Arabidopsis thaliana: one gene and its partners. The protein of the gene in region 3 interacts with the protein of the main gene of each other region in a pairwise test. Each region holds a gene or a part of one and is shown on either strand. Other genes may lie near its edges.

The links.
Region 1: the proteins of CNGC13 (region 3) and NRT2.6 interact in a protein complementation assay, tested with the Arabidopsis thaliana proteins (one large-scale study listed by BioGRID).
Region 2: the proteins of CNGC13 (region 3) and AT1G45170 interact in a protein complementation assay, tested with the Arabidopsis thaliana proteins (one large-scale study listed by BioGRID).

The regions. Positions count from the first base shown.
Region 1 is NC_003074.8:16,477,000-16,481,109, forward strand, and holds NRT2.6 (high affinity nitrate transporter 2.6), read right to left. Parts: upstream 2,561-4,110; 5' UTR 2,388-2,560; coding exon 1,548-2,387; intron 1,461-1,547; coding exon 672-1,460; 3' UTR 562-671; downstream 1-561. Other genes in the region: AT3G45050 (uncharacterized protein), read left to right, coding at 21-108. UniProt on the Arabidopsis thaliana protein: Involved in high-affinity nitrate transport. Required for the nitrate uptake-independent plant growth promotion and lateral root response to the rhizospheric Phyllobacterium.
Region 2 is NC_003070.9:17,095,419-17,099,986, forward strand, and holds AT1G45170 (outer envelope pore 24B-like protein), read right to left. Parts: upstream 2,624-4,568; 5' UTR 2,493-2,623; coding exon 2,292-2,492; intron 1,943-2,291; coding exon 1,583-1,942; intron 896-1,582; coding exon 815-895; 3' UTR 562-814; downstream 1-561. Other genes in the region: AT1G45180 (RING/U-box superfamily protein), read left to right, coding at 3,917-4,568.
Region 3 is NC_003075.7:433,700-439,420, forward strand, and holds CNGC13 (cyclic nucleotide-gated channel 13), read right to left. Parts: upstream 3,893-5,721; 5' UTR 3,705-3,892; exon of another isoform or gene 3,573-3,704; 5' UTR 3,544-3,572; coding exon 3,515-3,543; intron 3,389-3,514; coding exon 2,866-3,388; intron 2,793-2,865; coding exon 2,281-2,792; intron 2,155-2,280; coding exon 2,043-2,154; intron 1,953-2,042; coding exon 1,716-1,952; intron 1,628-1,715; coding exon 1,233-1,627; intron 1,153-1,232; coding exon 870-1,152; 3' UTR 518-869; downstream 1-517. Other genes in the region: AT4G01000 (Ubiquitin-like superfamily protein), read right to left, coding at 1-28; AT4G01020 (helicase domain-containing protein / IBR domain-containing protein / zinc finger protein-like protein), read left to right, coding at 5,387-5,721. UniProt on the Arabidopsis thaliana protein: Putative cyclic nucleotide-gated ion channel.

The sequences.
Region 1 (4,110 bases), on a different chromosome or scaffold from region 3:
CGATAAACACACATTCTTAGGCTTCCCAAGAAATGGAGCTATTGCACTAAATGTTCTTCCACGAGATCTTGTATGATATGTGGTGGTAGTGGAAAGACAAGCATCTAGCTCCTTACGCAGAGTTTACAAGTACGTTAAACTCTTTTCTTCAGAAACCGATTCAAAGGTTTAGCATAGCTTTCTTGTTTTGTTTCATTTATGAAAGATTCTGCAATGTTTGAAAACTTTCATACAACTTTAAGTTTTACATTTGCAATCTTCACCTGTCATACTAGTTAAGTTGCTTCTTACTCTTTCCAGATTCTTTAATGTGATCTGTTTCTGAGACGTAAAGATTACTAAAGTCAATTGCTTCTTCTTAAGGTATGACTAGTTGTGCCTCAAAACACTCTTCTCATTTTCAGTATTTGATCGATTTTGTTAAATCAATAATATGATCTTGGAAGACTTTTAAAGACACGGCTTGTTGATAAAACAGAGAGAAAACTGATGCATAAGTCTTATATCAAACGACATTGTACATCATGAGCACCGAGCTCACTGAACCTCACTTATCAAGTCAGGATCTTACTCGGTACATCTCTCATAAGAGGAACATAAAACATGCAAACATAAAGCTAAGTTTGAGGGTTATTTATATGTGGAAAAAGATGTAATGTGACTATCCTTCACTAGACATGAGCCGGAGATCCGGTTTCCGGCGTTGGAATATCAGCCAACATCGCCTTGCGGCCTCTCTCTGACCGGCTGTTTTCAGCAAATTTAATGCTTCCTTCGTGTAGTCCTAAGCTCTTCTCTTCCTCTGTCCATTCCGCTCCATAGTAATGCTCTTCCTTTGATTTCTCTCCATCTTGTGATGGCCTCAAGAACATGCTTCCCCACTGCGGAAAATGTATAAACGCAACCGGAAGAGAGCACACAACAGCCATAACGCCCATCAACGATAGTCCTTCCGCCGTACTAAACCTCGAGGAAGAGAAGAAAAGAAGTTGAGTAACTCCCGACCCAAAATTTCCACCAGCACCAGTTAATCCCGAGATAAGTCCAAGAGAACGGCGGGAAACAAAAGGAGCAACACCAAAGAGAGCTCCACAAGCAGCTTGTGTGCCCATGGAAAAAAGCATCATGGCTAAGATAGCTATAGGTAGTGAACTAGCACGACCAAGCCAGATGCAAAAGAGAGCTCCAACAGTTTGTAAGATCCACAAGATCCATAACCGTCCCCTCATACCGAAGAGCCGTGCAGCTACATCTGAAGCGTAGCCACCAAAAGGACGGGCAAAGAAGTTTGCCATACCAAAGCTGGCTGCTATAATACCAGCTGTGTGAAGCGTAAGGTTAAACCTATCGTAGAAGTATCCAGATATAACGTTGTTGATCGTTAATTCAACTCCCATAGAAAATCCATAGAGCATGAATAAGATCCATGTTCTATAGTTTTTCACAGCGAACCAAAAGACCTATTAAACAAAACAAAATTGTAATTAGAACCACATGCATTATTGCTAGTATTGTCCTAAAAATATTGATCATGTTTAATATATTACCTTGGAGAATTTGTCTTTAGAAACTTGACCACTCTTTTGGAGAGTACTGAGGTTACCATCGGGAAGATCTTGGCCGAGAGTGAGAACGAGAATACCCATAACTATCTGAAGAATGCCGGGGATGAAGAAGGCGAACCTCCAAGCCGTGAAGGGAGTGGCTCCGGTGAGTTTGATGACGTGGAAGACCATTGGCATTAGTAGCTGAGTCACTCCTCCTCCCATATCTCCCCACCCTCCAGCACATCCGTTAACGAGTCCGATAATCTTTCCAGTGAACATAACACTCGTCCAGTACTGACATGATACGAACGTTGCTAAGCAAAAACCGATCATGAACCTTACGGCTAAGTAGCTTCCCGCGTCAGCTACGAACGACATGGAGAAAACTGCTGGAGCTGTAAGCATAAGTGAGAAGGCGGTTCCATAACGTGCCCCTAGAAGGTCACATACAGCACCCATAGCGAGTCTCGAGAAAATGGCGCCGGAAACTGATGCAACTCCAGCATTTCCGATGTCGGTTTTGGTCAGGTCGAGATTGTCGCGAATGACGGGGACTAGAGGTGCGGCTGCGAAGGTGGAGATGAAGCAAGTGAAGAAAGAGATCCATCCTAAGTGGAAGGCTCTCATATGTGGTTTAGCGAATGATAGTGGTTTGAACACTTTTGCCCTATGTTCGGAGTCCACTGGTAGGGCAAACTTAGCCGTTGGATCGTTTGTTCGGACGGCTTGAGATGAAGGGACATCTTCTTGGACGGAGAAGGAGAAGACTTGCTCCCTTGCCGTGACTCCATGCAAGGAGGTTCCAATAGAGCCGTCTTCATTAGAATGGTTGTGAGCCATTGATCTTTAGTTCAAAGAAAATGGGAGAAGTTAAGAGAGAGAGAGAGAAGAGACTTTAAACGTTGAAGAAGGTTTTCTTCTTCTTTGTGGCCTTTGTTGTTTTCTGTTTTTGGTGTAAGTTGGAGAAGATGAGTTGCATAGTATTTATAGAGATTTTTGGTGGGTACGGTTAGGTGGATCCAATAATAAGAGTTGAATAATACTACGTGAAATGAAATGAGCGATGGCTTTTTGTTTTAATTTTTTTTTTGGTGAAATAGTATTACGAAATTTATTGGTAGAAAACAATCAATATGTAAAGTCTCTTGTACATTTTAGATGTAGTCTCTTTGTAGGTTTTTGCAAACGTTTTCAATAGCAAAAAAAAAAAAAAAGTCCTGATTTATTTATATATTTTGTTAATAAACTGTGTTGAGGGTCGAAGATAGTATATATTTTCTCTAACCGAATTATCAGAAGAAAAATTACGAAGGATAAGAGAAAGTTCACGTATAACCGAATGATCAGAAGAAAAATTACGAAACGATAAGAGAAAGTTCACTAGCTTTTCTTTATCTTTAATCTTTCGTAGTGCAAATATCAAAACGGACAATTTGACACGAAAAATCTATACCGAACTGCATCATATAACATATATAAATAACATTATTATGAATGGCTCTCCTAAATTTTATCTAATTAATATCGGTTAATAAAAAAAAAAAGTCCACCGCTCCAAAAATAGTTCATTCGGAAAAGAGAATATCCTATTAGAACTAAGCATATGTGTGTTTTTGCATAATGCAAATTACGTGCTCCATTTACTATTAAAATGTTTATAACTTAACTTAATTAGAAAATACGTTTCATTGACTACTTGTACCATATCTCTATCAAGTCGAAACATTATATAACTTTATAGAATTAACTATTACGTACGAATGGAATAAAATGCAGAAGAACAACGTGTCTCTTTCACCGCCGGCTTAGCGTCCATTTTGCGCATCCGTAGCTAATGTACAACATGCATGTGTCTTACCTAATGCATTGATGTTTCCAGCTTACTATAATATTTTGAAAATATTGTTGATCTTTTTGTTTAATGGTTATACTTATACATTATATATAAATATTGTTAATTTACGAGAATATCTTCTTATTCTTTTTATTTTTTTGTTATAGAGTCATCTAAGTACAAGAATATCTTTATGGAGAGACAAATGTTTGACATTTGACATCAACCAAAGGTCAATGAGACTATGAGATCGTACGGTTCATTGTAAAAAGCTCATTCTTCTAAAAATAATTGCAGTTTGTCTTTTGTGTATTCCATGTGGTCGACTCATCAAATTAATTTTACTTTTGGAAATAGTTGTATCAACTTTATTCAAAAATTCATTTTTTTTTTTTTGCTTTCAATTACCCAATAATACCATAAGATATGAAAATCTCTTGATCTTTATTTATTTTTGGGGGTTTAAAACAAGGTCGATCATTTCTTATTTGGAACGTAAACTCATATTTTAGAAAAAAAACTAAAATTGCAGAGAGCAAAATTTTGGCAACCAAAAAGAACGAAACAAGTAACATCAGCTTTTGAAAGTTATCAAATGAATTGAATGTAGCGATAAGTTATCTTTCTTACATATTCCTCGATCCCCGTACCATCTAGATAATCTTTATTAATTAGTTTGTTACACACTATGTCACTATATTGAATATTAAAAACTCAATTTGTTTTTTA
Region 2 (4,568 bases), on a different chromosome or scaffold from region 3:
TAGAAAAGCTTGGAAAGAAACTTATAGGCTATCTATGATATGGCTAAGAATTCAATATTTTTTGTGCAATAATCAATTTATACTTAGTTTCTAGAAGTAAACCAAATATGCATACACGTTTGGTTCTGCAGTGATGCAGATTGGTAGATGAATGTGATATGGTTGCACATGTTGTGAGCCCGTCGGTGTCGCCGCTCTTTTCGCTTACCCTATATGTAGCAGTAGTAGATTGGTGCTTGAAGTACCAACCTGATGTGCCCCGCCTAATTGCCATAATGTCTCTCCCAAGTTTTTTTTTATTTACCTAAGAGTTGTATATACTTAGATGTCAAGTTCATAGTTGTTTTGAAGCTAGAAAGCTGAGAGTGTTTGTTGGAGTTAACCAACAAACAAATACCTCATGGAATTAATTCATAATGTAGAGACTAGAGAGTATGTTGAATGTTGGGTAATACTCGTGAAGCTAATTTTGCTGCTTGTGTACTCACTTTGCTTTTGATTCTACTATTATTCTCTCACTAAACCAAGTTCATAAATGGATTGGGGAAAATAATTCCATCCTAAATGCAAATTCTTCATGTATTTGTGAGTATTAGCTCGAAATGTTGAATAAAAACACCTTCGTTGACAAACTCTACATTTTTGGGTATTCTTTTACTACTAATTGGACTCACTAATACTAGAATAGCAATTTTTGTGGTCATTATAGTCTTCACAATGATAAACAAGGAAACGACTAGAAATGTTCTAGATTCCTCTGTCAAGACTTTTGAATCCACATCAAACAACCGAAAGAATTGAGACTTTTTGGGAGCTAAAGTTCCAGGTTCCATGTAGTTTCTGCGGTCAGTTTTGGCGGCTTCAATTCCTCAGCTAGATTCATTGATGCACATACCTGTTGAAACAGTAAGAGAAACTCATTAACCACGACTGCAAAAAGAACCAATTTTAGCTAAGTGCTTATGAAACAATGTTTAAAAGATCGATTGCAGCATTCAAGAGAAGTTCTAGTTCCCCATTCACACATTAACATGTTCAACCCAAACTAACCTATAAGAAAACCTGGTCGATGGTACAACAAATTATTCAACCCAACCACCAGAACCAAGTAAGAGGAACTTAATCCCTAACCAGAGGATTGTAATTCAAGTCTCTTGTTAACACTCTCTCAAGATCACCATGCATCTTTTATGCATTAATAAAGATCACACCCATGCCATTAGGAGATTTGCATCATTCATACCAAGTTTATATCACCGCTTAAGCTTCAGTCTTTCTTAAATTCTTAGTAAGCAACAATAGATAAACAACATGGCTGGGTTAAGAATTTTTAACCTACTTGATAGAACTAAATGTCATTACAAGAAGAGCAATATAGTCTCATACCTACATGCACATATATGCTTGTTTTAAAGAACAAATTTTGAGAAGAGACAGGACCGTAAGAAGAAATGCTAAGATAACAGTATATAAGAGTATCTAGTGTCAACTGTTGGGATAGTGATATATGTAAAATTCAATCTACTCCTGCCAAAAGAAGTAGTGCTATGAACAAAAACAGAGAAGTGAAAATAGTATTTACCTTGAAAGATCCAGTTGATTTAGAGTTGTTCGACCATTCCAAACCAAGCATCTTACTAGAAGTCTGATAAGTTGCCTTGAGATTATCACCACCATAAAGTTTATGAGAAATCGCAAAGTCCCACATATTCTTAGCCACGTCATAACAAGGCTCAAATGTAGCTATCCCTCCATGAACATAAGTATACTTCAGCTTACAATTCTTTGTACCCACCATGTAATTAGCAGACAACTTGTTTGCTGGATCAATCACAAAACTCCCGTCAACAATCGTCCGGTTATCTCCTCTCATATGAATGTAAGTCAGATTCAAAGGCTTCTCTGCAATTCTGATAGTGTTCATAAACTGAAACCTAACATCCTGCAGCATAAAAACCGAAACTTTTTACTTCAATTTCATTCATTTGCAAAGAATCCATTCAAATAGAACCTTGTGTAACATCCTGCAGCAGAAAAACCGAAAATTTCTACTTAAATTTCACTCATTTTTCATAGAATCCATACAAAAATAGAACCTTGTGTAAACTAACATTCTGTAGCATAAAAATCGAAACTTTATACTTCAATTTACACTCCTAACCTAGTTTAATCTCCAAAAACTCTTAACTTTCTCAGAGACTCCATACAATTTCATCCATTTCTCATTCCTTATAGGTTTGAAGCTAAAAGGGTTAACTTCAAAAACTTGAAACTAAGAAAAAAGGAGTAACCTTTTTAGGGACGTTGTAGTCGATGATGAAGAAGCCAGGCTTCTCAACGGCGAGAGAGAGACCATTAAAGCTAGGACCGGCGACGAAGGAAGCATCAGTCATGGTGGCTCGTAGCTTAGCATTGCCGGCGTTGAAGGTAAGCGAAGCAACGCTACCGCTCTTGTCGACATCGAACTTTCCCTTGAAAGAAGCCTTCATCATGGAATCAATCGGAGAATCCAATCGGAATTTTCAGGATAAAACCCATTGAAGTTTTCAAATTTGGGCTTTTCGTGGGCTTCTTAAAAATGTATAAAACGCCGTTCCGTGGGCTTCTTAAGAATGTATATAAGGCGGGTTTGAATTGTCTAACGTCCTTTCACAATTAACTTCTTTGGATTCGGTTTCATCAACTTTAAAATTTAAGAAAAGAAAGCCGCGTGCGTTTGGTTGGGACGTGAGACAATAGACAAAGACAACTTCTCACTTCTCAGTTTTTAATTTTGCCAACTTGCTTTTTGTCTTATTTCTTCCCATTTTACCAATTCACATTTTATTACAAAAAAAATAGAACTATATATATACACATCTATTACTATATTTTCCAATATTGTGATTCTTTACCTCTTTATTAGCTAAATATGTATTCAAATTTGTCTTTTGGTAACTGCACTTTTTTTATTTGACTTTTTCTTAGAAAAGTTTCCATCTTTTCTAATATTTTTGAAAAATATACTGTCTTGATAAATGTGAATTTGAACCTAACCTATATATATGTAATAATAATAATAATCTTCTCTCCGGATTCTATTCTCATTTGGTTTGTGTGCTTTGCTTTCGCTTTCCTCAATTCTCTTCTTCTTCATTATTTTTGCCTTTTACCTCTTTTCTCTGCAATCGGTTTCTTCTCTCATTGTCTTTGACGAAAGAATCTACCCATAAGAGCGTTTCTTTGCTTTCTCAACCATAACTTTCTCAGATCGATTGGTTTCTTCAAGCGATTGGTGGGTTATTATTAGCTTTCTGTGTTTTGTTCATCGTAATATTCAATACAATCTCTCGTGACTAAAAATTGAGTTTTTGAAATAGATTTTAGCATGGGTTGTGATATTTGAATGGATATCTCTGTTTTTAGGAACGAACTTGTTTGGTGTTTCTTTGGCAAAAGGTTATTGCTTTATGGTTTCACTATGGTGTTTGTATTGGTGGTTTGTTGATACGAATATGTTATTGTTCCTCATGTTGCAGTGTTAGTTTTTGACTTGAGAGTTTGCTAAAGGTTTGATCTTTATCTTATTTACTGATGCTATTCTTGTTGTAGCTATGTGGATTGTTATAGGTTGCTTGATTTTGATGTTCATGTGTCAAATTGATAATGTAGCTTTTGTAGCTGATTAATTAAGTATAAAGATTGTAATGCAGTTGAGTTTTTGGTCTTAAGATTAGGCATTGTATATTATACTTTTGCTTGCATATCTTGAATTGCTGTATTGTATTTTTCTTTGGCTGAAAGATAACTCCTTATGTATTTCAATGTGAAGGTAACTCTTTTCTTTTTTTTTATTTTAGTTTCCAGGATTTGCTAGATTGTGAAAAGTGGTGAGAGTCTCTTGATTTGTCAAGTGTCAACTGTGGTTAACGATAGGATGCAGGGAGAGAGGGCTAGTCTTGGTTCTTTATCAAAGGCTTTGAACTTTGAGCGCGGTTCTACGTCTAGTAACGCTGTGGTAGATCAGCAAATTCGTTGGGAGAATCTTCACAATTATGGTGATAATGATTTGCAGGATTACATGAGTTCAGCTGCTGATACAAATCCTACTTTTGCAAACTCAGTTTATCATGAGAAACGGGGCTTGCAGAGGTTTAACATTGGTGAGGCTAGCTCTAGTGGGACGAAGAACGAAGGGGCAAGTCTCACTGAACAATGGAAGGGAATTGGAAGGTTTGAGGAACAGAGGAATGATAAGCTTGAGTTGAGCCCTTTGTTTGTGCAACCATCTAATGGAAGCCGCGTGGTTCGTGATGTCAATCTAAATGCAGAATACAATGAGCATCTTGAGGATATGAATCCGGTTACAGTTCATCCTGGTCATTTTGAGGTTAATGGACTTAGGTCTGAGTTTTTACTAGATAACAGTGTTAGAGCTGGTTCCTCTGTTGATGGACGTCGTGCATCCTGTAAAAGAAAAGCTCTTGATGCAAGCGGTGGTCAGTCCTCTTCAACTGGAGGTTTCCGTGAGTTCCAGCGTGGAGTATCCAGTTCTTGGATCTCAGGTCCTACGTATTACAGCCCAGCAA
Region 3 (5,721 bases):
GCAACGGCTTAGAACTCTGATCCGCCATCGATTTTCGATTCAAAAGCTTGGACGAAGAAGAAGAAGTTCGATTTCTAGAGAGGAATCAGAGAGAAATTGGGGAAATTTGACGGAGCCCTAATAATAAGTCTCTCTCTCTCTCGCTGCTTGTTGGGCTAAGATTATTATCTTATCCACACTTTTGGGTTTATGACTGGGCTTTATATTGTCTGAATCTATGTCGGTCAGGAGAAATCGATTTTTTTTGTACAATTTGACCAAACTAATATCTATATATGATATGGTAAATGATGTATTATTAAGTAAAAATTATCTACAATTGAATCTTATAATAAATATATATATATGGAAAAATTACTCTTAGATAAAATAACATGATAAATTGTATGTTATTGGTTAAACATGTTATTTGTTTTTTTTTGGTCAAAACACACACATGAAAAAACAATTTTTAAATAAATTTGTTATATTTACTCCAAAGCTTTTAAAACTAAAAAAAAAATTAAGGTTACCTAAAGTTATCAAATTCATATATATAACCATGTTTTATTTTTATAAAGGTATCTTCAATAGTGATCTCTATATTTTCCTTTATTTATAGATATGACTCTATTTTAGAGGCTGCTCCAATGGTCACATGTAAAATAGAATTTTCTTTAAAATAGAGGAGATATCATCTCTATAAATAAAGATCTCTACATTTAGTCTCTATTTTTTTCCTATTTTTGAGGAAACTCTATTTTAAAAGTGACCATTGGAGCATCGTGCCTATAAAATAGGGTCACTAAATTTTTGTAATTAGTTTAAGCTTTAATGTCGTTGACACAATATTATATACAAGTGGTAAGTGGACATGTGTAAGAGATATTTTAAGGGTTTCGGAGACTGAAATCAGGCTCGGAGGGTTTAGGAGGTAGCAAAGGTAGGTTGTTTGTACGCAGATTGCGAAGCGCGTTTGAAGCAAACCGCGACGCGTATAACGTTGCAACCAGGCTAGACGAAGACGCCGCATTGCGTTCGCGTTTTGTGATCGCGTTTCGGAATCGATCTTCTTCTTCGGTTAATGATCTAGCTAGTTTCCTCCGGCAATGTCTCCGCCACGCCGCTTGTATGAAAGACGCACCCCAAGTTCTCCATTGAACCGAATAAAACCTGACAGTTAAACCGAATTAAACCAAACAGAACCGGAGATTGGAGAAGCAGAGAGATCAGTCAAAAGAGACCAAACAAACCTGAAAGTATGTTGAAGCTGTTTGCTATGTAGTCGTCTGAACTGTGAAGCAACAAGCTTGAGATCATCTGCTGCAAGAGCAAAGGCTTCTACTTCGGTTAAAGCTTGAACTGTTCTAGTCGATATCGGAAAATGAGACGAAGATTGAGGATCTAATGCCCATGTGAGAAGATCTTCGCCGCAAAAGTCACTAGGTTTTAGGTATACGGCGTTAAAGAAGCCGGTCCGGCCACCGTTTGTGGTGGCGCTCATCAGTTTTCCTCTCATGACAAACAACATCTCTTCCACTGGATCTCCTTCTCGAATTGCATAGCTGTTCTCGGTGTAGAGCACTGGTTTTAGCTTGTCACACACGGCATCTAGCAATTGCTCATCCATTATCTCGAACAGAGGTACCTATATATATTTGATTCGATCAATGATTATTTGAATGAAATGTCAAATTTGAGGATCAAAGAGATAAGGTGGAACTAGAAGCACTTACTTTCTTGAGAAGATCGAGGCAGAAATGGCGTTTGATGTCTCTCCTGAGGTCTTTAGGGAGATTACGCAGAAGGTTTTCTTCTTCTACTCCTCTAGTTTCCTGCCATTTGTACTGCTCATACCTTCTGATACGTTTCCTCAAGTCATCGGGTAACATTCGATGAGACATCCATTGCTCTGCATCTCTTTTTCTCACTCTCATCTCCTCTTCCCTCACTGTAGTTGATTCCAAGTATTTCTGTTATGGAAAGTGGAAACATCAGTAGTGTTTTATCTTCCTTGGGGATCAAGTAAGTGATGGAAAAAAGGCAGTGAAATGAATATATACCTGCATATTGCCGATAAGTAGTGCGAATAAGACTAGTCCAGATATACAAATTGATACAGCAAATATGATTTCCCCAACGAATTTGCTTGTATTGAGATTTTGTCCCAATGCACTGCAGCGAGTGAGAAACAGCAAGTGATCAGATTAGTGTTTCATGCTCAACATATCTTAGCCAGCCATCAAGTGTGTCACATGAATCCTAAATTACTAATAACTAGATAGAGAGAGTGTTACAAACCTTAAATTACGCAAACCCCACCAGAAGCAGTAGAAGAACTTCTTCCAGAAATCATCTGATTCAACAATCCCACTCTTTAAAGCATCAGTAAAGATACCAAAGTTGAAGACAGTTGAATTTGTTATATCATCAGGGTTGATAAACGGGCACGAGGTAGTCAGGAAATCGTTTCTAACACTACTGTTTCCATCGCAGTAGAGAAATCTAAAGTTACACACTTCTGGTATCTTCTCACAAGCTTCACGCCAGCATCTGTCTTCTCGTTCTACTGATATTAAGTACCATAAGGCTCCAAACACATGACTGGCTAACATATAGAGAGATAGGTTCCAAGCAGCTCCAGCCCAAGCGGTTTCAGTAACTATGCCAGATGTTCTTGTAACTTCAGTGTAAAGTGGATAGATACGAAGAATCCTTGGAATGTATTGAGTAAATATGACAGTTATCAAATAGTCCTTAGTGATCAAAGAGACCGGCTTGTTGACATTGGGGATGACAGCTAAGACTACAAGCTGCAGCAGATACAACAGAATATTAAAGAACCATCAAGAAGGAACTATAAAACCATTAGGAACTAAAGGTTACCTGTGGGAGTGGAAGGATAGAAAGAAGATCGATGATGAAGTAGGAGGAGAGGTACTTGATGGCTATAGCTTTAGGATCATCAACCAACTCGCCTCTTCCGAAAACACGAGAAGAAGGAGAGATATAAGCAGTTCTAAACTGAAACACAATGTGAATGATGTAGAAAGCATCTATAAACGTGCGAAGCACACTAGCTGCTATCTCCAAGTTACGATGCAAATTAAGACAGTGTCTTTCTCCATCAACAATAGGAATATAGAAAAACAATGGATCAATAGCCAAAGCAATCACTGAAGCAAAAAGAAAGATTTTGTTCCAGTTCTGTAAAAAAGATCCTTGTGGGTTTATAATATTCTTCTGTGTAGTGGTACTAGAATTAGAATCTCTCTTCTTATTATGTGAACCAAAACTTAAAGGTTTCTTAAGTCCTCTACGAACATTCTTCAAAACTGTGTTTAGAGATGGTCTAGCTTTATTTCTTCCGTAACCATACTCTGTTCCCTCTGAAATCCAATCTCTGAACCTAAACAAAAAATCATCAACAAAAAAGAATATTTTTTCTGAGAATCATTCATATCCATAGTTTCTCAGTAAATTCATTCTAAAAAAAAAAAAAGACAGAGATTAAAGAAAGCAAGCAAACAACAACCTTACACGATTGTTGCGGCCAAAAGCCATGAGTCAAGCTTTTTTTGCTATAACGGATCCTGAATCATAAGAACATCGATTTGATCGCTTTAATTCGTTATCCCCAAGTTTACAGTAACAGAAAAAAAAAAAAAAGAAGAAGAAGAAGAAACGGAAACTAAGAAATTAAAACATTTATATCCGAAACTGACCAGAACGTTGAAGTAACTGAGAGAAGCGATATAAGAAAGATTATAGTAAGAATTTTCCGATGATCTGAAATTGGGAAAATTCTCGAAATTAATTCTCTGAAGTTTTTTTTTGAAGCAGTCAAATAAGCTATCATCGTAGAGTCAAGCTTGGCATGGCGCTGGAAAATGGAGACTCCATTGGCAGTTTCTTCGAAATTGTGTGCATTTTACAATAAAAGACAAAAGAGAGGGAATTATTAAAGAGTCAAAAACATTTGATGGGCCTAACCTTAATTAAAAGCCCAATTCGATATTGAATTTGATTTTAAAATTCAGAACTTGTTATATATCAGACCAACACAGTAAACATCATAGATTCCAGTAATGCATCAGCTATAAACAGATCCTAGCAGTGTGAAATAGTAAATATGCTACGATTTAAAGGTTTGGATCCAAAGAATTTTACCAACTTCATAGCAGATTGTTCACACTCTACACTCAATAAGCCAAATGTAAACAAAAAGATGACCAAAGATCTTCACAAATCTACCATGAATCACAAAATCTATGAAGACAATGTGATTTAAAGCAAAGATCTTACAGTTTTTATGGGCTCTTAGTTAAATTTTGAGATAGTAAATTTTCATATAGGCCCAACCGCCCAAGTGAGCAATCTTGCAGGACTTTTGTGTTGTTTATGGCTTTTGTCTTGTCTGACTCATGAAATCTTGTTTTTTTTTGTAGATAAAAGAACGATAAATGACGCTTTTAAAACTTTTTAAAGACGAGAGTTCTAATAAAATTAGGAAATAATAATATATGATGTTGACAAAAAATGTAGAAAAATATATGAAATTTTTATTGGCACGAAAAATTTGTAGCGAACCGCATCATATCATCACTTATATAAGCAATATTTTTTGAAAATAACTCATTTGAATATCATTAATTAAGCAGATGAGAAAAAATGATATGAGGTTATTGAAATTTTTAACCAAATTGTTTTTTATATAAAACATGTAACACTTTCTGTTTGTTTTTTCTTTTATATAATTTTGTTAACACCTTTCTATATTTTCTGCTTTCAATATTTTCTATTTTCTTTTATTTTGAAATAGTATTTTTTTTTGTAGGGATTTGAAAATAGTTTTTTTTTTGTAGGGATTTTAAAATAGTTTTTGAAACTACTAACTAATTATTAATAAAATTCAATGCTTTGAATAAAATCTAAATGGTATACAAATATTAAACTTTACAAGAATATGAGTTAACTATTTAATACCTTTAAGATTTCATATTTACTTTTGATGATATGTACATTTTAATACGTATATGGCAATATCATTGGTAGATACACTATTTCTAACTTAAATTTTAAAATGTGGTAAAAACATAAAATTGAAATACTAAGAAATGTTACTTTAACACTTTTATCCTCAAATTTGGATTTCTGGATGTTTCTATAGGTCGAACCAATAATTAAAGAATTGATAGTAACAAAATGGGTTTTAATATTGATTAGAAGAAAATTAAATTAGGTTAAAGAAAAAGGAAAGAGTAGACGAAAAGTTAAATAAATTTTAATAGGGTTTTAATATTGATTGATATAACTCTCTGACTCTTCTGTGACTCTTTTCAACTTCTGACTCTTTCTCTTTCGCTCTCTCATTCTTAACAAGAAAAAAAACTGGCATCATCTCATCATGAGGAACTCTTTTCCTCCTTCAGACGGTGGGAGATCGACGACTGATCGTCGTCAGCAGTCGTTTCCCTCATCCTCAACGAACCGTTATAACTCTCGCTCTGCACAATCTTCTCCGCCGCTCAACCACTGTACTACTTGGAACCAGCAACACTCTCAGTACCATAACACTAATTTCCCGCCAAATTACAGACGTGATCGTGCTCCGTCGTCGGGATTCTCTCCTCCAGTCACGCGGGCTAGGCCTAATTTCATCGTTCAGCTGCTTCACCCCGCCGCCGCTAACAGTGACACAAAGCTGTCTAAGAAGCAAGAGATCGAGAGTATCGCTTTGCT